3 linked regions of the Struthio camelus genome follow. The protein of the gene in region 1 interacts with the protein of each later gene in a pairwise test. Links are inferred from orthologs where the notes say so. Each region holds a gene or a part of one and is shown in the gene's direction. Other genes may lie near its edges.

Evidence for each region. The genes of interacting proteins can lie anywhere in the genome.
Region 2: the proteins of TNIK (region 1) and CLU interact in a two-hybrid assay, tested with the Homo sapiens proteins (2 studies listed by BioGRID and IntAct). The link is inferred for Struthio camelus from reciprocal best matches to the Homo sapiens genes TNIK and CLU.
Region 3: the proteins of TNIK (region 1) and ACTG1 interact in a two-hybrid assay, tested with the Homo sapiens proteins (2 studies listed by BioGRID and IntAct). The link is inferred for Struthio camelus from reciprocal best matches to the Homo sapiens genes TNIK and ACTG1.

Annotation. Positions count from the first base shown.
Region 1 is NC_090950.1:27,544,249-27,551,553, forward strand, and holds the start of TNIK (TRAF2 and NCK-interacting protein kinase), read left to right. Parts: upstream 1-4,303; 5' UTR 4,304-4,488; coding exon 4,489-4,545; intron 4,546-7,305. UniProt on the Homo sapiens protein: Serine/threonine kinase that acts as an essential activator of the Wnt signaling pathway. Recruited to promoters of Wnt target genes and required to activate their expression. May act by phosphorylating TCF4/TCF7L2.
Region 2 is NC_090944.1:8,553,251-8,560,098, reverse strand, and holds the start of CLU (clusterin), read left to right. Parts: upstream 1-3,836; 5' UTR 3,837-3,860; intron 3,861-5,305; exon of another isoform or gene 5,306-5,636; intron 5,637-6,848.
Region 3 is NC_090960.1:1,594,367-1,601,350, reverse strand, and holds the start of ACTG1 (actin, cytoplasmic 2), read left to right. Parts: upstream 1-3,972; 5' UTR 3,973-4,127; intron 4,128-4,799; 5' UTR 4,800-4,809; coding exon 4,810-4,932; intron 4,933-5,016; coding exon 5,017-5,256; intron 5,257-5,538; coding exon 5,539-5,977; intron 5,978-6,137; coding exon 6,138-6,319; intron 6,320-6,428; coding exon 6,429-6,572; 3' UTR 6,573-6,984. Other genes in the region: keratinocyte proline-rich protein-like, read right to left, coding at 77-1,708. UniProt on the Homo sapiens protein: Actins are highly conserved proteins that are involved in various types of cell motility and are ubiquitously expressed in all eukaryotic cells.

The DNA of each region.
Region 1 (7,305 bases):
GTCTTAGGGAATCGGAAATACTAAGCTGACACCAGTCACGGGTCCAAGTGGTCATAGAATTATTTGGAAACAAGTGATCCACCTATGCTGGTGGAATAAATCATGCAATAGGGCCCAAGCATGCTTTATTTGCTTCATTCCTTCCCTCTCCAGTCTTTCAGAGAATAATCCAAAGCCCAAAGCAACTGAAGCTCTTGCCAACCAGGCAAGGCCTTGTGTGTCGTTTAGATTTACTAATTTCAACATATACCCCTTCATGATGTAATTAACACCAATGGCACGGTTAGATTACTAAATTTGGTTATATGCAGAGGTCAAATGAACTGGACGGTTTATTGGTGAGCTGATGTCCTTTAATGAATGAATCAAAAATACTGACCCTGACGTCATCAACCCTCCCTGCCAACAGCTGAGATTTGGTTTGTTACGGTGCGCCTGTTGTTCACTGCGGCTGACCAAAACTTGGGACCAAAGCCATCCTGTAGGAAAAGCTGACATTTTAGCATTTGCCTCCATTCCAAATTGGGATGAAAAGGCAAAATCGTGCCATCTGTCAGAGGATGGGAAAGTAAAAAGAAAAAAAAAAAGTGAGTTTGGTGAACATGGCCAAAACGATGTCTTCACACAAAACCGTGCCCACCTCCACCTCTAGGGAGGTAGAAATAGAGCGTGCGGAGCTAACTGGGGATATCAGGAGTCAAGCTCAGCGCCAGCTGTACCCCCCTACCACAGGTCTCTGCTTGGCGAGCGACGTGACCTGGAGTCGCCGCCTATGCGCTGCACAGAGCTGAGCGAGGCCCTGCTGCGGCGCGTCAGGTCGAAAGGGTCCCGGCATGTGGCAGGACGGGGCCCCACAACGATCCCCAGGAGGGCCCCGCTAGCTGCAAACACGAGTTAATGTTGAACCGACTCTCAGCAAAACATTTCAGGCCAACTCCACGGAGCGCTCTCTTTCGAGTCATAGCAACTCAAACTGCAAGACTTTTGTTTAGATGCTCCTGGCAGAGAAATGGTATACAGAGAGACACAAACATACGCCTCCTTGCAAAAAAGGTTAACGTATCAGAAACTTCATTTTCTATAGAAAAAGTTTCCTGCAGAAAGTGACTGACCAGCTCCAGTCGTACGTGGCCGGACGTCTCCCCATGGCCAGCGGGAAGGCCGGGCCGGCGTCTCCCTGCCGAGGTCGTGCTGCCCCGAGCAGCTGCCCATGCGCTGCGCTCGCCCCGGCAGTCCTCATGCCGCGCTGCCTCGAAGTCGCCGGGGTCTGCATCCGCCCTCCACTACCGTTTACTGCATTTCTTATGTTATTGACACAGAACGGTTCTCTACGTTTTCGCTGTCTTGTCACACAGAGGACGGACTGTCATGACACCATGGTTTAGCTTGGGTATAAACTTTGCATTTACACCGAGGATTGAGGCAATCTGTCTATATGCAGGACTGGGGCACATATTTATTTTGTTGGTTTTTTTTCTTTTTTTAATCCTTTCATGCTTCACAAATAAAACCTTGCATTCTTGAACGGAAAGCATATTGGAGAAAACCAATGTCCTCTCTCATTCCATTTGTTCTTTCCATTTCTTTCCCTGGGAACAATGAAAGCAGTAGGAAATCTTGCAATTTCTTTGGTTACTAGTTTCCAGGCAGTTTTGCTTTCAGCTTCCCAAGTATGAGCAAACATTGCAATATCTAGGTTTGAACCGACACAGACAACATCTGGTTTAAAAAAAATTCCATCAGCGCTACAGATTCAGGAGGATGCTCAGAAGCAATAAGGCTGTTCCCCGTTTTCCAAATGTATAATTATTTTACTGAGTTTAACATTTTGATCAAACTTGGCTTTTTAAATGCAGCCGAGGCCTAATCACTGTGAAGGTATAAAGGATTCATGGAGCAGGAGAAAGGGAATAAACCCAGCCACGCTGCCATCCCAGGACTGCACGTGCTGTGCAGTGCTGCGCACTTCACGCATTTCAGGGTAACTGCAGTTTCCTGACGCTCCAGCAGTTCACTAAAAGAAAAAAAATTGCCTTCTGCTTTGCCCTGGGAGTTTTGCAAACAGGAACGCTCTCGTTCCCAGCATCGCAGGACGACGCCGTTGCTCCCTTCCTCGGCTTGTGTCAGAAAGCCGTGATCCGCACTAACGCTAACGAGACATCGATGCAGTTGTGCAGGGCCGCACTTCCTCGGCCGGGTTTCGCAGGGCTCAAAAAACCGTCGCCATATCGCAGGCAATGAGCCCCGTTGTGCACTAGCCGCAGCGCCGAGCCTCCCTGCAACGGCACCGTTCGTTCGTGACGTGATTTGGGTTTTTGGTTGTTTTTTTTCCCCAAATGTACTAAGTGCATCTCCGACCAGCGAGCGTCAGAAAACCCCATCCGTCTGCCAATTGTCTCATGTGTAGGGTTTCCGCTTCCCAGATCTGCATATTGTAAGAGCCTGACACAAGCCGGCGAGAGCTGATGTTGTAAGTACATCTTCCATACGGTTTGCTCAAAGGCAACAGATTTTATATATATATATTTATATATGGCACCTGGTTTGGCAGAAACGACTTCCGAATAAGGGGAATAAGGAAAACAGTCAAAGCTGACTCTACCTAGCTAATTGCTGGGTTTGGGAGGCTTTTGGCCAACTGCAGTCCCAGAGACAGCGTAAATCTCTCATTCTTGCTCAAAAAGGGAATTAGATAGGTCAAGGACAGCTCGCGATACTCCTAAGCGCTGAGGGAAAGAGGACCCGAAATCGGATCTAACATCTGGATCCAGTAGGAGCAGGCCGGTTTCTTGGCCTGACCGTCCTGACGTGCACGAAGAAGAGCAGCCACCGCTTTTGGGTGGAAGGTGATGAGGCCCTTAGGCTTCCCAGCACCCAAGCGCTGCATGGGTTGGGTTCAGCACCTCGATTTTGGCAACTTGTGCCGCCAAGCTTTGCAAAGCCACGGCATAGCTGCTGCGGCACTGGCTGACGCTTAACCCCGGATTTTTTTCCGGCCAGGTGGCTCCAACGGCGTTGCGAGAGCCTACGCGCTCAATAAGCACGAGCGTGGGACTCTGCAAAGCCACGTGTCCCCGACTGGACTTCGGCGTCGGCAGCCAGCAGGGTCGTTCGCAGACATTATTCCCCCAGCCGCGTCCTTCGTGCCTTGCGTCGGGCGGGGGGAGGTCAGGAGAGCACCCCAGCAGGCCGGTGGGCAGCAGGGCGCGGAGAAACCGCGGCGCGCGCTGCCGAGCTTTCCGGGCCAAAGCCCTCGCCTGTCCCAACGGCGGGGCTTGGGGTGAAACCAGGCCGGGTGGAAGGTGGAAAACCGAGGGGCCGGTCACCTCAGTGGGGCGAAGCCTCTGGCCTCGGGGCGGAGGGAGGGCGCTGGGGTTGGGGGGCGCGGGCAGCCTCAGCTCCTGCCCGCCCCGGCCCCAGCCCGCCCCGGCCCCTGCCCGCCCCGGCCCCTTCCCGCCCCGGCCCCTGCCCGCCTCGGCCCCTGCCCGCCTCGGCCCCTTCCCGCCCCGGCCCCTGCCCGCCCCGGCCCCTGCCCGCCTCGGCCCCTGCCCACCTCAGCTCCTGCCCGCCCCGGCCCCTGCCCGCCCCGGCCCCTGCCCGCCCCGGCCCCTGCCCGCCTCGGCTCCTGCCCGCCTCGGCCCCTGCCCGCCTCGGCCCCTGCCCACCTCAGCTCCTGCCCGCCCCGGCCTCTGCCCGCCTCGGCCCCTGCCCGCCTCGGCTCCTGCCCGCCTCGGCCCCTGCCCGCCTCGGCCCCTTCCCGCCCCGGCCCCTGCCCGCCTCGGCTCCTTCCCGCCCCGGCCCCTGCTCGCCTCGGCTCCTTCCCGCCCCGGCCCCTGCTCGCCTCGGCTCCTTCCCGCCCCGGCCCCTGCTCGCCTCGGCTCCTTCCCGCCCCGGCTCCTGCTCGCCCCGGCCCCTGCCCGCCCCGGCCCCTTCCCGCCCCTGCCCGCCTCGGCTCCCGCTCGCCCCGGCTCCCGCTCGCCCCGGCTCCCGCTCGCCCCGGCTCCTGCCCGCCTCAGCTCCTGCCCGCCTCGGCTCCTGCCCGCCTCGGCCCCCGCCCGTGGCCGCCCCCTAGCGGGAGCCGGCGGCGCCGCCGCCGCCCCCGCCGCCACCGCCGCCGCCGCCCCCGCCCCGGCAGGCAGCGGCGCGGCCGCCCCCCGCCGCGCTGACAGACAGCTCCGGCAGCGCGCTCCGGCCGGGGAGGCGGCGATGCGCCGCCGCCGCCGCCGCCATCCCGGCGCAGCCCGCGGCGTGCCCTGCCCGCCGCCAGCCCGCGGCCGCCCCTAGCCGCCGCGCTGCCCGCTGCCGCGGCGGAGGAGGAGGAAGAGGAAGGGGGGGGGGAGCAGCGGCAGGGGCGGCTTCTCCCGCGGCCCCCCGCATGAGGAGAGGCGTTAAATAGCGCCGAGCGCCGCCGCGGCCGGAGACTGCCAGCTCGGTGGCGGCGCCGGGGCCGCCGCTGCTGCCGCCGCTGCCGCCGCCGGCGGAGGAAACATGGCGAGCGACTCGCCGGCGCGGAGCCTGGACGAGATCGACCTCTCGGCGCTGCGGGTGAGGGGCCGCGCGTGGGGCGTGGGGGGTGTACGTGCGTGGGGAAGGGGGCTCTCCTCGGGCAGGTGAGGCTGAGCCGGGCGCGGGGGCTGCGCTGGGCTGTGCGGCTGCCGCCTCTGCCCCGCTGCGCGCGTGTGTGTGCGTTTATCCCCATCTGTGTGCTCATGTTTATATATGTCTGTGTGTGTACAAGCGTGTGTGTATGTGCGTGTAGGTATATTGACGTGTGTCTGTGTATAGGTGTGTGCACGTTTATGTAAACGGGGGGGGGGTGTGTGTGTGGCTGTGCGTGAGCGTGTGCAGCCGTGTGTGCGTGTGCAAGGCCGGTCCCCCCGCGCCGCCTCTGCGCCCGGCCCCTGCGCGAAGGACACCGCGGCGCTCCCCGTCCCCGTGGGGGCTCTGGCAGGTGTAGAAAAATGAAAATAAAAAAAAAATCACATGCCTGGGGAAAAACCCCACGCCCAGCCCGCGCGGCCGTGTTTCACGCGTGTCGCCGCCGAAACGTGGCCTCGGTGCTGGGCTTTGTCCCTGCGCGCTGGCCGGTGGGGTGGCGGCGGTGGGGCTGGGCGCGCGGGGAGCCCCCGGGACGGCCGAGCCCCTCCTCGCCACGCTCGGTTAATAAATCACGTAGCGTGCACGCGTGTGCACACACACCCACACACGCGTGTGCGCGGCGCTGGTGCGGGCTGCTCCGGTGCCGCTCCGCGCCGACGCGGACCCGCAGCCCGTTTCTTCTCTCTCCATCCCTCTCCATTAGCTCTGCCTGCTCTTCACCTTCCCCCTCTGAAACAAAGCTTTCCTGTCGCTCTACCCTTGAAATGTCGGGCTTGGCAAACGTGTCAGCCTCCGTGTGGGCTGGCACTGTGTCCCCCCCTCCGCCACTGCCCTTGTTACGGTAACTTCCCCCCCCCCCCCCTTTTTCCCCTCTTTTCTCTTCATCCTTTTTGTCTTGAGAACAGGTAGTTGGTGTCGAGCGTGGGGAGTTGTTCAGAGAAGCGGTGTTTCATGTGGAGGTTGCAGCAAGACTGCTTATCTCAGCCTGCTGGAATAGATAGATAAATAAAATTAAGCAGAACCCGCTGAAGACTTACATAAGTGTATTTTTAGAAATATTATTTGCTTCAGTGAAAAAAAAGATGTCTATCTTTATTCACTTGCCCTACTTTCTTCCTAGTGAGTTTCTGGTTGATTAATAGTGTAAACGATTGCTCAGCGATTCAAGGTGTAGACAGGATTGGAGCAGGGGGACCATCCAGCTTGAAAACAGACCTAGAGCTCGTTTCCCCTTGTAGGTAGAAAGTGTCTTGGGAGAAAGGATACCAAAGTCAGTGGAGTTAATCCAGGAAAGCAGTATTGTTCGTGAGGGCAAGGGGGCCCTCTGCTTGACCCCGGTCCCTGAAAATAACTTTTTTTTTTTTTTAATTTCATTTGAACCAGGGAACCAGTTATTTTTAAAGATCTATCAGTATATGCTTAGTTTTTGTGTGTTTGTGGCTTTTTGATGGCAATGCGTACAAGATACAGTTTAGGTTTTGTTTCCTTTTTGAAAGGAAACGTATATTCCCTTTCTGCTCTCCCCTCCCCAACCACTGAGAGTGAACTCTGAGCAGAGACGTCCTGCTGCTCCAGGACAGCTCGAGGTGTGGGACCTGCACCCGACGACATGGTGAGATGCTAAGGATGGTCCTTTTGCCGTGTCCCCTTGCCTCTGCAGTGGTAGTTGACGTGGCTTTCCGGCAAGGCCGCTTCAGCAGGAAATAGGTTTTTCAAGTCCCGTTATAAGATGAGAATTTGGAGAAGCGGACGATGTTATTGCCCACCACTGAGGTGTTCGGAGGAGGATATGGGAGCCCGCTAGAGCGATGGAAGACACCGCAGCGCTTCCTTGTCAGGAAGCAGCTTGTGTCGCGTTAGCCAGGAGCTCAAGATCAGCTCAACTGGTTGAGGATGTTCTGGTGTGAACATCAACCCTGAGCCGCTCCCTAGTGCTGCCAAGCCGAGATGAGCTGCTCATGCCGACATGGAGTAGCCGTGCGAGGCTACAGGGCTGCAGTAAGGCAGCTGCTGCTCACACTGTGGGGCACAGAGCTCTTGGGATTTGGGGTGTCCCACCTTGCCTTCTGCCTCAGGCCAGCAGCAGTCATGCTCAGGGCTCAAGGGAGCCCTGTGCTGTGTAACCTAAAGGCAAGAGACCTGTTATGACACTTTTCCTTTAAATTACGAGAGATGTGTTGGTTTATAAGTGAGACCAGAATAGGGTCTTAATTTGCCAAGGAATAGATCTTCTTCTAAACTAAGCTCGTTTAGCACTTAGAATAATTGTTAAAGGTCATAAATTCAGCAGATAGGGTAAGAAGCATGAATCATTCCACAGGGTCTGAATCAGAAATCAATAGTAAATTTGCTGCCTGAGCACAAAAACATGGCAGTGAGGAGTAATTCCACAAGCCTTGCAAAATTTCATTTATTAGGAAATAGAAGTGTCACGTTGCTGCTGCTTTGTAGATGAGTCTGGATGGAGGAGACGTTGTTCTGGCTGCCTGTTTGAAAGGGTGAAGGATGGCTCTATGAAATGTTGTAAGCAGGTAGTGACTCAAAATCTGGCTGAAGGGATGATTTGTTCTTAATACTGGGGAAGAGAAGCGCTTAGGCCACTTATCTCCAAGTCTGAGTCACCAAAATGTTCCAGGAGGCTGGCTTTGATGAACAACAAGCAAATGCATATAAATAAGGTGGACCTTTGACTATCAGTTTGTCCGG
Region 2 (6,848 bases), on another chromosome or scaffold:
GGGGGAGGCCGTTGACGTAGCTTACCTGGAGCTGAGACCACGGGCCGTCCGCCCGCTGCGGCTTCAGGGGTAGCGCTTTGCCCGCGGCCGTAGCGCACCGCAAGCAGTTCTGCACCCACTCTGCTACTTGCTCCTCGTCGCCTTCCCACCGCGCCACCCGCCTCGCCCTGGCCAGGCTCCCCTCTACCCCCTCGTGCAACCAGCCGTGACACTGCGCGACTATCTCCTGTTTCTCGTGCCTCGACGGCTCCCAGTCCTGCGGGCTCCTCGCTGTCCCCGTTTTGACTCGCCCGGGCATTTCCCTGGCCCTTTTGCCCACTCTCAGGTTCCACTCGTGCTCCTCCGGGTCCTCGCTCCCGTGTCCGGCGACGTGCCTGACGTGCAGCACCCCCGGGTTGGAGCGAATCCAGCGCCAGATGCTCGGCCACGAGGCCCCGTTGGCGCACGTCTCGCCGCCGGTGGTCTCCAGCAGGCCCTCGGCACCCTCCTCCTGCAGCTTCTTCACCAAGGACTTGGAGTCGGAGTACAAATAGAGGGGCAAAGCGCTCCCGTGGCCGCGCAGGACCTGCTCCACGGCAGCCAGCTCCGCGGTCTGCGCCGAGCCGCTCTCCCGCATCCCGAGGAGCCACCGTTCTTCCAGGCTGGCGGCTGCAAAGACGAAATAGTCCACGTCGTGGTGGAGCACGCTGCCGACGGTGAACCACACGTTGCCCGCGGGGACGTGCGAGGGCAAGAGCCGCAGCGGGGGCGCGGTGGGCACCACCGAGCCCGCAGGGTGCCCGCAGGGAAGGGGGTTCCCGTTGGGGACCGTCTCCCCTGGGACCCCCCTGTTCACCAGCAACAGAGCCCACTGGGCCGGGTGGGCGCTTGACGTGTGAGCTCCCGTCGCCATCCCCCAAAGGAGGTATTTCAAAGGCGAATGTGGCATTTGGATAACGACAGGAGCCGGCCCCGTGAGAGCCCTGAAGGCCTGCACGGCTTGTACTGCCACCAAGCACTCCTTCTCGCGTGGTGAATAGGAGACCTCGTGGTCCTTCAGCAGCTGGGAATGGTATGCCACTGGGACCAGCTGGCTCTGCTCGTCCTCCTGCAGCAGGGCAGCCCCCGTGGCGTGCTCGCTCGTCGTCAGCCTGATGACAAAGGGCTGGGACCGGTCGGGGAAGCGCAGCGCGGGCGCCCTAAGGATCGCGTCCTTCAGGCGGCTCAGGGCCTCCTCGTGCTCAGGTCCCCACTCCCATCTCTCCGGCTTCCTCATTAAGCGGTAGAGCGGCTGGGCAATCTCCGAGTAGCCCTCAACGTGCTCTTGCATGGACCTGAACCATCCCAGCAAGCCCTGGAGCTCGCGCACATCCCGCGGGTGGCGCTTCTTGTCCACGGCCTTCAGCTTGCTCTCCTGTATCTCCCTCCCCTTTGGCCCTATCGTGATCCCCAGGTAATTGACCTTGGGCTGCACTAGTTGGGCCTTTTCTAACTTGGCTTTAAAGCCAGTTTTCTGGATCAGCTCCAGGACTCTCCTCGTCCGGGCTCTGGTCTCCTCTTGGGTTTTCCCAGCGATGATGATATCATCGACGTATGAAAGCACCTCCTCTTTGTCTTCGTCGGGCAGCTGGGCTAACATCTGAGCCACCCGCTGGTGCACGATGGTGGTGGTGTTGTGGAGGCCCTGGGGCAGCCTGGTGAAGAGGTACTGCCGGCCTCTGAACGTGAAGGCAAAGCGGGCTCTGCAGGCTGGTGCCAGCGGGATGGCAAAGGAGCAATTCGACAAGTCGAGCACGGAGAAGTACTTGCTCTTGGGACTCAGGGCCGTGACGATCTTCGTCCTGTCCAGGACCACCGGGGCTATCCTGGCGGTGGCCCTGTTGACAGCTCGATAATCCACCGTTAGACGCCACTCTTTCTTGTTGGCCTTCTTCACGGGCCATAAAGGGCTGTTGGACGGAGATGTCCCTTCTACCACCACTCCTTGAGCCAGCAGGTCTTCAAGGATGTTAGCCACTGCGTTTTCCGCCTCCTCCAAATACGCATATTGCTTTTGGAATGGCACTGGTCCCCCTGTGATATTTTCCTCCCCAGAGACCAAACCACAGTCCATCTTGTACCTTGTCCACACATCTGGGAATTCCTCCCTCCATGGCTCTTGACTTGGAGCCAGCAGCATTAGGGTCCTGCAGACCTGCAGCGAGGGTCTAGGAAGGACTGGTGGACCTGCCTGCTCCAACAGGTTGTCTTCAGAGACTTCCCAAATCTTCCTGTTAGCCAGGTCCAGCTGCCACCGGTGAGCCGTTAGGAAGTCGCTTCCCAAAACGCACAGCTCCGGCATGGCGGGGAGGTGCTGCACATCCCCGTAGTACACCGTCCCGCCGATGGAGAAGGGGACATCATAGCACATGGCACCTCCCAGCCCTGCAGTGCGGTCCTGCACCCCGTCTCCTCCCAGCTGAGGGCACAGCTGCACCGCACTGACGTCCGCGTTGACGTCCACCAGGGCGTCCACCTCCTCGGAGCCCGCTATCCTGACTGGCACAAACACCCTGCCCTCGTTGTCCACGCGGAGAGTGTTCACGTGCCTCCAGCGGACACCCGGCCGGGCTGGCGCGGGGGGCTGCAAGCCGCCCTCGCTGACCCCTGCCATGGGGTACACCGCCGTGTCGGTCTGCAGGATCCGCTTGACCAGCTGGGTGGCCAGGTCTCTCGTGGACCTCTTGCTCCACGTGGCCATGTCCTCCCCCAGCTGCTGCAGCTTCTCCCACACTTGCTCCTTCCTGCACGCTTCCGCCGGCTCCAACTCCTGCCCGTTTGCCCCATTCCCATGGCAGTTGGTGGCCACGTCCTCCGGGTCCGGGTGCTGCGCTGCTGCTGAGCCGCTTGCACCCGGCGTCACCGTCTCCTGCAGCGCCGCCGCCTCCGCGCCCTGCGCCGCCCGGCTCGCCTGCTCTTCTGGCCACCTGGCACGCTTCTGCTGGGCGTCCCGCAGCTGCGCTTGCAGCCCCGCGCGCTCCTTGCTTGCGTCCGCCAGCTCCGCGCGCAGCTCTATGCACTCGCTCTGGGCATCCTGCAGCTGCGCTTGCAGCCCCGCGCGCTCCTTGCTTGCGTCCGCCAGCTCCGCGCGCAGCTCTATGCACTCGCTCTGGGCATCCTGCAGCTGCGCTTGCAACCCCGCGCGCTCCTTGCTTGTGTCCGCCAGCTCCGCGCGCAGCCCCGCGCACTTGCTCCGGGCATCCTGCAGCTGCGCTTGCAACCCCGCGCGCTCCTTGCTTGCGTCCGCCAGCTCCGCGCGCAGCTCTATGCACTCGCTCTGGGCATCCTGCAGCTGCGCTTGCAGCCCCGCGCGCTCCTTGCTTGCGTCCGCCAGCTCCGCGCGCAGCTCTATGCACTCGCTCTGGGCATCCTGCAGCTGCGCTTGCAGCCCCGCGCGCTCCTTGCTTGCGTCCGCCAGCTCCGCGCGCAGCTCTGTGCACTCGCTCTGGGCATCCTGCAGCTGCGCTTGCAACCCCGCGCGCTCCTTGCTTGCGTCCGCCAGCTCTGCAGGCAGGCAGCCCGACTCGGCGAAGGCCGCCTCCGGCTCCTCGAGCGTCGCCGGCGGCCCCGGGAGGCCACTTACCCCCCAGGCGCTGAGTTTGCTCTCCTGCACCAGGGCGCACTCGGCCGGGGAGCGGGGCGCTGGCAGGGGATGCCGCGGGCGCTTGTTCTTCTTACACCAGAAACACGCCATGATGGCCCCAAAAAAAGGAGAGAGATGAGGAAACGGAGCAAGGAAACGGAAGTGGCAGCGAGGGCGGCGCGCAGGCGTCGTGCTACCGCATCGGCTCAGCACAGAGGTGCCCACGGTGCCGCCGCAAAAGCGGCCGGGACCCAACCGGGTGGGCAAAAGTGTGCGAGAAAGATGGAGGGGGGGGTCACGGCGGTGGCCGGTCCCACAGCCGCGTCCCGTCAGCCCATGCACAGCAGCTCCGCCGCGGCGCCGGCTGCCACCGGGGCCCTTGTCCGCCGTCGCGGCATGCCGGGATGCTGGTGGGACGCTGCCGGGGCTGCGGGAGGGGAGCGGGAGTGTGAAAGTTGTGTGTGGGGGGGGGGGTGAGCGTGGGAGCGGGGGCCTGAGGCTGTGGGGAACACACACCGCCGTGCACACGCGTGTCCCGCACACGGCCCCCGGGGGAACACACACCGCCGTGCACACGCGTGTCCTGCACACGGCCCCCGGGGGAACACACACCGCCGTGCACACGCGTGTCCTGCACACGGCCCCCGGGGGAACACACACCGCCGTGCACACGCGTGTCCTGCACACGGCCCCCGGGGGAACACACACCGCCGTGCACACGCGTGTCCTGCACACGGCCCCCGGGGGAACACACACTGCCGTGCACACGCGTGTCCTGCACACGGCCCCCGGGGGAACACACACCGCCGTGCACACGCGTGTCCTGCACACGGCCCTGGGGGAACACACACCGCCGTGCACACGCGTGTCCCGCACACGGCCCCCGGGGGAACACACACCGCCGTGCACACGCGTGTCCTGCACACGGCCCCGGGCGAACACGCACCCCCACGCACACGCGTGCCCCGGCAGCCGCCCCCGCTCTCCGGGCCGCGTTTCGGCCGCGCTCGGCTCTCAGGCCGCCCTCGCCCCTGCGGCGCCTCCTCTCCCCGCCTCCCTCCTGCCGCTGCTCCTCCTCCGCCCGCCGCCTTTGCCGGAGGGGGCAGCTCCGGGCAGGCAAATAACCAGGCAACTCCCCCCCCCGCCCCCCCCAAACCAACCCCGTGCTGAGGCCTTGCAAAGTTAGCGCATGCAATATTGGCCAGCTTACCAGCCGCATGGACGCAGCTGGGCCAAGGGGCTGGAGCGGGGGGGGGGGGGGGGACATGTTCTCGGGGCACCCTCGGATGCCAGGACGACCCCCCCCCCCGCCTTTGGCCGCCGGATGCCCGTCTGTGCCTCAGTTTCCCCCGCTGCTGCGGGTGCTGCCGCCGAGGGGGCCGGGGGACAGGACGGGGACACCCGATGGGCCGCCACCGCCGCTCTCCGAACCGAGCGACGCCGGGGACGGAAACGAGCAGCCGTGAAGTTGGCCGCCAAAACCAAACCCTACGCTTCCGAGAAAAGACAGGCTGGAGGCAAAAATAATAATTGTAATAATAACAAAAATCCCCGCCGCCTGCTGAATCACGCTGCTAAAGCCGAAATCCCCAGCGGGGGTTGGGGGGGGGGGGTGGGAAACGACACCTCGGACCGCCTGCCAAATAAACGCTCGCGGTTTTTTCCACGCCGTGCGCGCTGGGGAGCGCTGAGCCCCCTCTCGGCGAAGGAGGGAGGGAAAGCAGGCAGGATGGGGCCCTTGCAGCGCTCGGATTTTGGGTGCATGGAAGGGGGGGGTGGTAATGCCCCCCCACACACCGTTCCCCCAAGGGCGATGCCCTGGGGACGAAGCGGATGTGCCCATCCCCGTGGCGCCAGGGCGCCCCCCCCCCCCCCCGCAGGCCGGGCCAGGCCCTCCGGTTCCAGAAAGCTCCGGGGCCGGGAGCGGAGCCGGGAGCGGGGCGGACCCGGAGCGCCGCGGCCGCGATAAATAGGGGCAGGCGGGGGCGGGCGGCTGCGGCGTAGCTCGCCAGGACAGCCGGAGTGCCAACCGCAGGTACCGCTCCCTTCCCTTCCCTTCCCTTCCCTTCCCTTCCCTTCCCTTCCCTTCCCTTCCCTTCCCTTCCCTTCCCTTCCCTTCCCTTCCCTTCCCTTCCCTTCCCTTCCCTTCCCTTCCCTTCCCTTCCCTTCCCTTCCCTTCCCTTCCCTTCCCTTCCCTTCCCTTCCCCATTCCCTTCCCCATTCCCTTCCCTTCCCCATTCCCTTCCCTTCCCTTCCCTTCCCTTCCCTTCCCTTCCCCATTCCCTTCCCCCTTCCCTTCCCCTTCCCTTCCCCATTCCCTTCCCTTCCCCTTCCCTTCCCTTCCCTTCCCCATTCCCTTCCCTTCCCCATTTTCCCTTCCCCATTCCCTTCCCTTCCCCATTCCCTTCCCTTCCCCATTCCCTTCCCTTCCCTTCCCCATTCCATTCCCTTCCCTTCCCTTCCCTTCCCTTCCCCATTCCCTTCCCCCTTCCCTTCCCCATTCCCTTCCCTTCCCTTCCCCATTCCCTTCCCTTCCCTTCCCTTCCCTTCCCTTCCCTTCCCTTCCCTTCCCCATTCCCTTCCCTTCCCCATTCCCTTCCCTTCCCTTCCCCATTCCCTTCCCTTCCCCATTCCCTTCCCCCTTCCCTTCCCCCTTCCCTTCCCCATTCCCTTCCCCATTCCCTTCCCCATTCCCTTCCCTTCCCCATTCCCTTCCCCATTCCCTTCCCCATTCCCTTCCCCATTCCCTTCCCCATTCCCTTCCCCATTCCCTTCCCCATTCCCTTCCCCATTCCCTTCCCCATTCCCTTCCCTTCCCCATTCCCTTCCCCATTCCCTTCCCCATTCCCTTCCCCATTCCCTTCCCCATTCCCTTCCCCATTCCCTTCCCCATTCCCTTCCCTTCCCCATTCCCTTCCCCATTCCCTTCCCCATTCCCTTCCCCATTCCCTTCCCTTCCCCATTCCCTTCCCCATTCCCTTCCCTTCCCTTCCCCATTCCCTTCCCCATTCCCTTCCCTTCCCCATTCCCTTCCCTTCCCCATTCCCTTCCCTTCCCTTCCCTTCCCTTCCCTTCCCTTCCCTTCCCTTCCCTTCCCTTCCCTTCCCCATTCCCTTCCCCATTCCCTTCCCTTCCCTATTCCACCCCACCCTGCAATAAGCTGATCGGGTCTCAGCAGGTGCTGCCAGTGGAACCCCCCTCGGGGTGTCCCCCGCGGGCAGTTTTGGGGAGGGGGAGGAGGAAGGAG
Region 3 (6,984 bases), on another chromosome or scaffold:
GGAATTGGGGTCAGGGTCAGTGGTGGGATTGGGGATGGGGTCACGGTTGGGGTCGGGATCGGGGTCAGGGTCGGGGTCAGGGTGGGATTGGGGATGGGGTCACGGTTAGGCTTGGGGTCAGGAACGGGGTGAGGGATGGCGATGGAGCTGGGGCTGGGATCAGGACCGGGGTCGGGGCAGGATTGGGGATGGAGTTGAAGTTGGGGTCAGGAACGGGGTCAGGATCAGGGTCAGCGGTGGGATTGGGGATGGGGTCAGGAATGGGGCTGCAATCGGGGTTTGGGTCGGGGTCGGGACGGCCGATGGCGGTGCCCGGCCTCACCGCGGCCCCCCTGCTCCCCGAGACGCCGCACACCTGGCCCCAGGGTCCCCGCTGCCCCCGTCGCCACGCCAACACCGAGCCGTCGCCATGGCAACCGAGGGGTGTGATGCTGCCCGTCGCCGCGGCGACGCCGAGCCGGTCCTGCCGCGGCCGGGGGCTGCCGTGACTCAGCGCCCTGCCCAGCCGCTCCTTCCTCCTCCTGCTGCTGCTGCTGCTGCTGCTGCCGCCCGCGGGCGCGGGGCCGGCCGGGGCGAAGGTCTGGCGGTGACGGCGGCCTGGGCTGGGCCGTGGGCGGTTTCGGGGCTGAGGCGCCCGATTTCGCCTAACGTAGCCGCTCCGGCCCCGCTCCGCCGCGCACGTCCCTGCGGTGCTCCGCTCCTCCCGGTGCCGGCAAACAAACGTTTCCCACTCAAAAGCGGCGGCGGTGGCAGCGGCGGGGCGGTCAGCCCCGCTCCCGGCTCTGCGCGGCGCCGCGCGAGCCTGCGGACGAGGCGAAGCGCCGCTGCCACCGGCCTGCAGCCCCGGCCGCCACGAGGCAGGCGGCAGCGCTGCTCTCCCGGCGTCGCCCGACCTGCGCAGAGGGCCTGCAGGAGCGTGCGGCGCTCCGGCACGGCACCTGGTGCTCCGGCACAGCACGTGGTGCTCCGGCGCGGCACGTGGTGCTCCGGCACGGCACTTGGTGCTCCGGCACGGCACGCGGTGCTCGGCACGGCACTTGGTGCTCCGGCACGGCACGCGGTGCTCCGGCACGGCACCTGGTGCTCCGGCACGGCACGCGGTGCTCGGCACGGCACGCGGTGCTCGGCACGGCACGCGGTGCTCCGGCACGGCACCTGGTGCTCCGGCACGGCACTTGGTGCTCAGCACGGCACCTGGTGCTCCGGCGCGGCACGCGGTGCTCCGGCACGGCACGCGGTGCTCTGGTAAGGCACGTGGTGCTCCGGCACGGCACGCGGTGCTCTGGTAAGGCACGTGGTGCTCCGGCACGGCACGTGGTGCTCCAGCACGGCATGTGGTGCTCCGGCACGGCACGCGGTGCTCCGGCACGGCACATGGTGCTCCGGCACGGCATGTGGTGCTCAGGCGCGGCACATGGTGCTCCAGCGTGGCATGTGGTGCTCGGCACGGCACGCGGTGCTCAGGCACGGCACATGGTGCTCCAGCGTGGCATGTGGTGCTCTGGCACGGCACATGGTGCTCGGCACGGCACGCGGTGCTCAGGCACGGCACGTGGTGCTCCGGCACGGCACGCGGTGCTCTGGCACGGGACGTGGTGCTCCGGCACGGCACGTGGTGCTCCAACACGGCATGCGGGGCTCCCCCACGGCACATGGTGCTCCGGCACAGCACGCGGTGCTCCAGCATGGAGCGCGGTGCTCCAGACATGGCACACGGTGCTCCGGCACAGCACACAGTGCTCCAGACACAGCACACAGTGCTCCGGACACGGCACGCGATGCTCCGGACACAGCATGTGGTGCTCCAGACACGGCACACCATGCTCCTGCATGGCACACGTTGCTCTGGACATGGCACACGGTGCTCCTGCACGGCATGTGGTGCTCCGGACACGGCATGCGATGCTCCGGACACAGCATGTGGTGCTCCAGACACGGCACACCATGCTCCAGACATGGCACACGGTGCTCCTGCACGGCACGCAGTGCTCCGGCACAACACACAGTGCTCCTGCATGGCACACTTTGCTCCAGACATGACACACGGTGCTCCAGATATGGCACACGGTGCTCCGGCATGGCACATGGTGCTCTGGACACAGCACGTGGTGCTCCGGACACAGCCTGCGGTGCTCCAGCACAGCACACTGTACTCCTGCACAGCACACGGCGCTCCGGACATGGCACGCACAGCGCCGGACATGGCACACAATGCTTCAGCATGGCACATGGTGCTCCGGCACAGCACAGGGTGCTCCAGCACAGCACACGGCGCTCCGGCACGGCACGCACAGCTCCGGGGATGGCGTGCGGCGCTCCAGCCACCTGGCTCTGCAGGCACAGATCACGGTGCTCCGGGCCCAGGTGCTTCGGGGCGTCCCGTGCTGGCCGTGCCCGACGCCGGGCGCCGAGCGGAGCCTGCGCCACGCGGGGGGCTCTCGCAGGACGCACCGCGCCACGCACGCCGGGTGCCACCTGCCCACCCGTGGGGCGCTCGGAGCTGATGGCAAAGCGGTGCCGGCCCCGGGGCGCTGTCTGTGGGGTGCACGGCACTGTCCGTGGGGTGCTCGGCATTGTCCATGGGGTGCTCGGCGCTGTCCGTGGGGTGCTCGGCATTGTCCGTGGGGTGCTCGGCATTGTCCATAGGGTGCAGGATGCTGTCTGTGTGCAGCGCTGCCAGAGGGTGCATGGGGCTGCCGACGGGGCGGTGCTGCCTGGAGGGTGCACGGCACCATCTGAGGGTGCACAGCGCTCTCTGTGGGGTGCTCGGTGCTATTTGTGGGGTGCAGGGTGCTGCCTGAGGGGTGCACAGTGCTTCCTGAGGGGTGCGCAGTGCCGCTGCACAAGGGGTGGTGCAGCGTGAAGGGGGCACGGCGCTGTCTGCGGGGTGCACGGTGCTGCCCGCGGGGCGGTGCTGCGAGCAGGGTGCCCGGCGCTGTCCGAGGGGCGCGCAGCCCCGTCTCTGGGCGCCCGGCGTTCCCTGAGGTGCGCGCGTCAGGGTGCCTGGCACGGCCTGTGGGGTGCCTGGTGCTGTGCGAGGGGGGCACAGGCCTTCCGAGGGGGATACAGTGCTGCCGACGGGGCGGTGCTCGTGCGGGGCGCATGGTGCTGCACAAGGGCGCTGTCGGGGGGGTGCACAGCTGCCCCGGGGGGTGCACAGTGCCATCTTTGGGGTGCACGGTGCTGTCTAGGGGGTACACGGTGCTGCCCCAGGGGGTGCATGGTGCTTTCTGAGGGGGTGCCAGCTGCCCCAGCGGCACGGTGCACAGTGCTGTCTAGGGGGTGCACGGTGCTGTTGAGGGGGTGCACAGCTGCCCCAAGGGGTGCACGGTGCTATCTTTGGGTGCACGGTGCTGTCGGGAGGTGCACTGATGCCACAGGGGGTGCATGGTGCTGTCGAGGGGGGCGCACGGTGCTATCTGGGGGTGGACAGCTGTTGCAGGGGGTGCTGTCAGGGGGTGCACGGTGCTGTCGGGGGTGCACAGTGCTGTCGGGGAGGGGGTTCACGGCACTGTCGGGGGGTGAACAGCTGCCCCACGGGGTGCACGGTGCTGTCGGGGGGGGGGTGCACGGTGCTGTCAGAGGGTGCACAGCTGCCCCGGGGGGTGCACGGTGCAATCTTTGGGGTGCACAGGGCTGTCAGGGGGTGCACAGCTGCCCCGGGGGGTGCACGGCGCTGTCGGGGGGGTGCACGGCGCTGTCGGGGGGTGCCGGCTGCCCGCGGGCGTGCCCGGGGCGCCCCTGGCTGGCGGGGCCGGGCCGGGCGCGGGGCGGCGCCGGCGGCGGGAGGGTGCCCGGCGCTGGCGGCCGGCGCGGGGCGCTGCCGGGGCCGGGGTCGCCGCCCCCCCCCCCCCCCGGCCTCTGCGCCCCATGCAGGTTCCGGGGTGCTGCGGGGCGGGGGCAGGCCGGCAGCCGCCCCACGTGGCCGGGGCCGCGCCAGCCAATGGGAGCGCGTGTTTCTGAAAGATCTCCATATATGGCGATCTTCTCGGCCGGCGGGGCGGGGTCATCGCCCCCTGGGTATAAAAGCGTGGGGCTGGGAGCTGGACGGTCTCACTCAGCCGGCGGCAGCAGACCAGGCGGTATCGTCTCCCTTCCCCGCACCGCGAGAAGCCTCCTCCGCACAGGTACCGGCCGGCCCGGCCCGGCCCGAGCCCCCCGCCGCCCTCGGGGCCGGTGGCCGTTAGCCGTTAGGGCGTGGCTCGCGCCCCTCTTGGGCCGCGCCACTGAGGTCCCCGGGGGGGAGGGGGCGGGGGGGGTTTGCAACGTGCCGCTCCCGGCTGGCTCGTGGGGTGGGTTGTGCCCGCCCTGGTGTTCTCCCACCCCTCCCCCCACCGGAGTGGTCTCGCCCGTTTGAATGGGAGCCGGGCCGTTGGGAAGGGAGGGGGGAGGGGGAAGAACGCGCGAGCCGGAGGAGGGTGGGGCGCGATTGGCCGCGGAGGCGGGTGACGTCAGGGCGCGGGAGATTCAAACCGCGGGGCGGGCGCGGGGCTGCCGCGCTGGGGCGGCGCGGCCCGGCCCGGCCCGGCCCGGCGGGGGCCCCCCGGGGAGCCGCCCCGCCGCAGGGCGGCGGCCGCCTGGCGCCGTGCCGTGCGGGAGCCGGCCCTCCCCTCCTGGCCGCGCTGCGGGACCCCCCTGCCCGCCCCCCCCCGAGCTTCGGGCTGGCCCGCTGCCAGCGCGGCCTCCCGGGGCCGCGGCCCCCAGCCGGTGCAGGGTGCGGGCGTGACGTGGCGCTGGGCACGGCAGGGCTGGGTTGCTGAGCGAGGGCTCTGTCTCTTCCTCCCCCCCCCCGACATCAGATCCTTCAAAATGGAAGAAGAAATTGCAGCGCTCGTCATCGACAATGGCTCCGGCATGTGCAAAGCTGGCTTTGCAGGGGACGATGCTCCCCGTGCTGTGTTCCCCTCCATTGTTGGGCGCCCCCGACACCAGGTAAGCTGGGAGGGCCCTGCCCGGAGTGGGTGTGCCTGGGGCGGTGCTGCAGTGCGCGGAGCTGACTCATGCGTCCCTTCCTAGGGCGTCATGGTGGGCATGGGGCAGAAGGACAGCTACGTAGGTGATGAGGCCCAGAGCAAGAGAGGAATCCTCACCCTGAAGTACCCCATTGAGCACGGTATTGTCACTAACTGGGACGACATGGAGAAAATTTGGCATCACACCTTCTACAATGAGCTCCGTGTGGCTCCCGAGGAGCACCCTGTCCTGCTCACAGAGGCTCCTCTGAACCCCAAGGCCAACAGAGAGAAGATGACACAGGTACGCTTCCTTGGGCAGCAGCCGCCGCTTACCTCCATCTTCACAAACCCTCTTTTGTTATGGCATCTTAAACCTGAGTTTTTTTTCTCCCAATGTTTTCAGGGTTCTCTACTCCTGGCATTTCCTCCTTGACGTCTCAGGTTTCTTTCATTTGTGTTTTCTGCCTGCGTTCTTTGCTTTTCTTTCACACATCAGTTTTTGCATGTCAACATGCATGTTCTAACACAGGTGTGAGTGACCCAGCTTGTTGTTCCATGCTGAACTGTTTCTTCTTTCTTCCAGATCATGTTTGAGACCTTCAACACCCCAGCCATGTACGTTGCCATCCAGGCTGTGCTGTCCCTGTATGCCTCTGGCCGTACCACTGGTATCGTTATGGACTCTGGGGATGGTGTCACCCATACTGTGCCCATCTACGAGGGGTATGCTCTGCCCCATGCCATCCTGCGCCTGGACTTGGCTGGCCGTGACCTGACAGACTACCTCATGAAGATCCTGACAGAAAGAGGCTACAGCTTCACTACAACAGCTGAAAGGGAGATTGTCCGTGACATAAAGGAAAAGCTGTGCTATGTCGCCCTGGACTTCGAGCAGGAGATGGCCACTGCTGCCTCTTCCTCCTCCCTGGAGAAGAGCTATGAGCTGCCTGATGGTCAGGTGATCACCATTGGCAATGAGCGGTTCAGGTGTCCGGAAGCCCTCTTCCAGCCATCCTTCCTGGGTAGGTATGGGCCAGAGCCGCCCTGAGAGACCGGTGGCACCTGGAGTGCCCCTCTGGTGTGGGAGTTTGCTCTGGCTGCATGCTGAGCTGGGGGGTTGGCATGGCTGAAATGAGGTGCTGCGTGTGTGTGCTAACAAGCCTGCAACTCTTTTCTCCCTAGGCATGGAGTCTTGTGGCATTCATGAGACCACTTTCAACTCAATCATGAAGTGTGATGTAGACATCAGGAAGGACCTGTATGCCAACACAGTATTGTCTGGTGGTACCACAATGTACCCTGGAATTGCTGACAGAATGCAGAAGGAAATCACAGCTCTGGCACCTAGCACAATGAAGATCAAGGTAAGAAATGCTCCTTTGTCCTGCTGCGGACGATGCTGCAGGCCCCTGTGTTTTGTGGGAGGAGGCCGGAAAGCCCTGGGCAGTTCTGACTGCTCCTCTTCTCTTGCAGATCATTGCCCCACCTGAGCGTAAATACTCTGTCTGGATTGGTGGCTCCATCCTGGCGTCTCTATCAACTTTCCAGCAGATGTGGATCAGCAAGCAGGAATATGATGAGTCTGGCCCATCCATTGTCCACCGTAAATGCTTCTAAATGGACTGCTAGCAGATGCACAGCATCTGCTGCATGAGTTGTTTTCACTAGTATACGTTTGCCCAGGCAAATCTATACACCTCATGCTAGCCTCATAAAACTGGAATAAGCCTTCTTTCAAAAGAAACTTGCCCTTGGAAAGTCTGTATCTGATGTTAGACAAATGTCAGCACTGGATTGTCAAGCTGTCACTTGATTTGACCTTGTATTCAAGTTAACTGTTCCCTTGGTGTACACCTTAGCAGAATACCCTGTACAGATCTGATCTAAGCCTTGGGGCAGGTGCCTCGCGTGTGTGATGTCCTTGCTAAGGTTGACTTGTGTTTGTGGGGAGCCTATTCTGACAGTGGTTCTCACGGCTTGCTATACTGACAGTGACGCCTCTCCAAGAGCGCAGGCTCTGGGGCTCGAG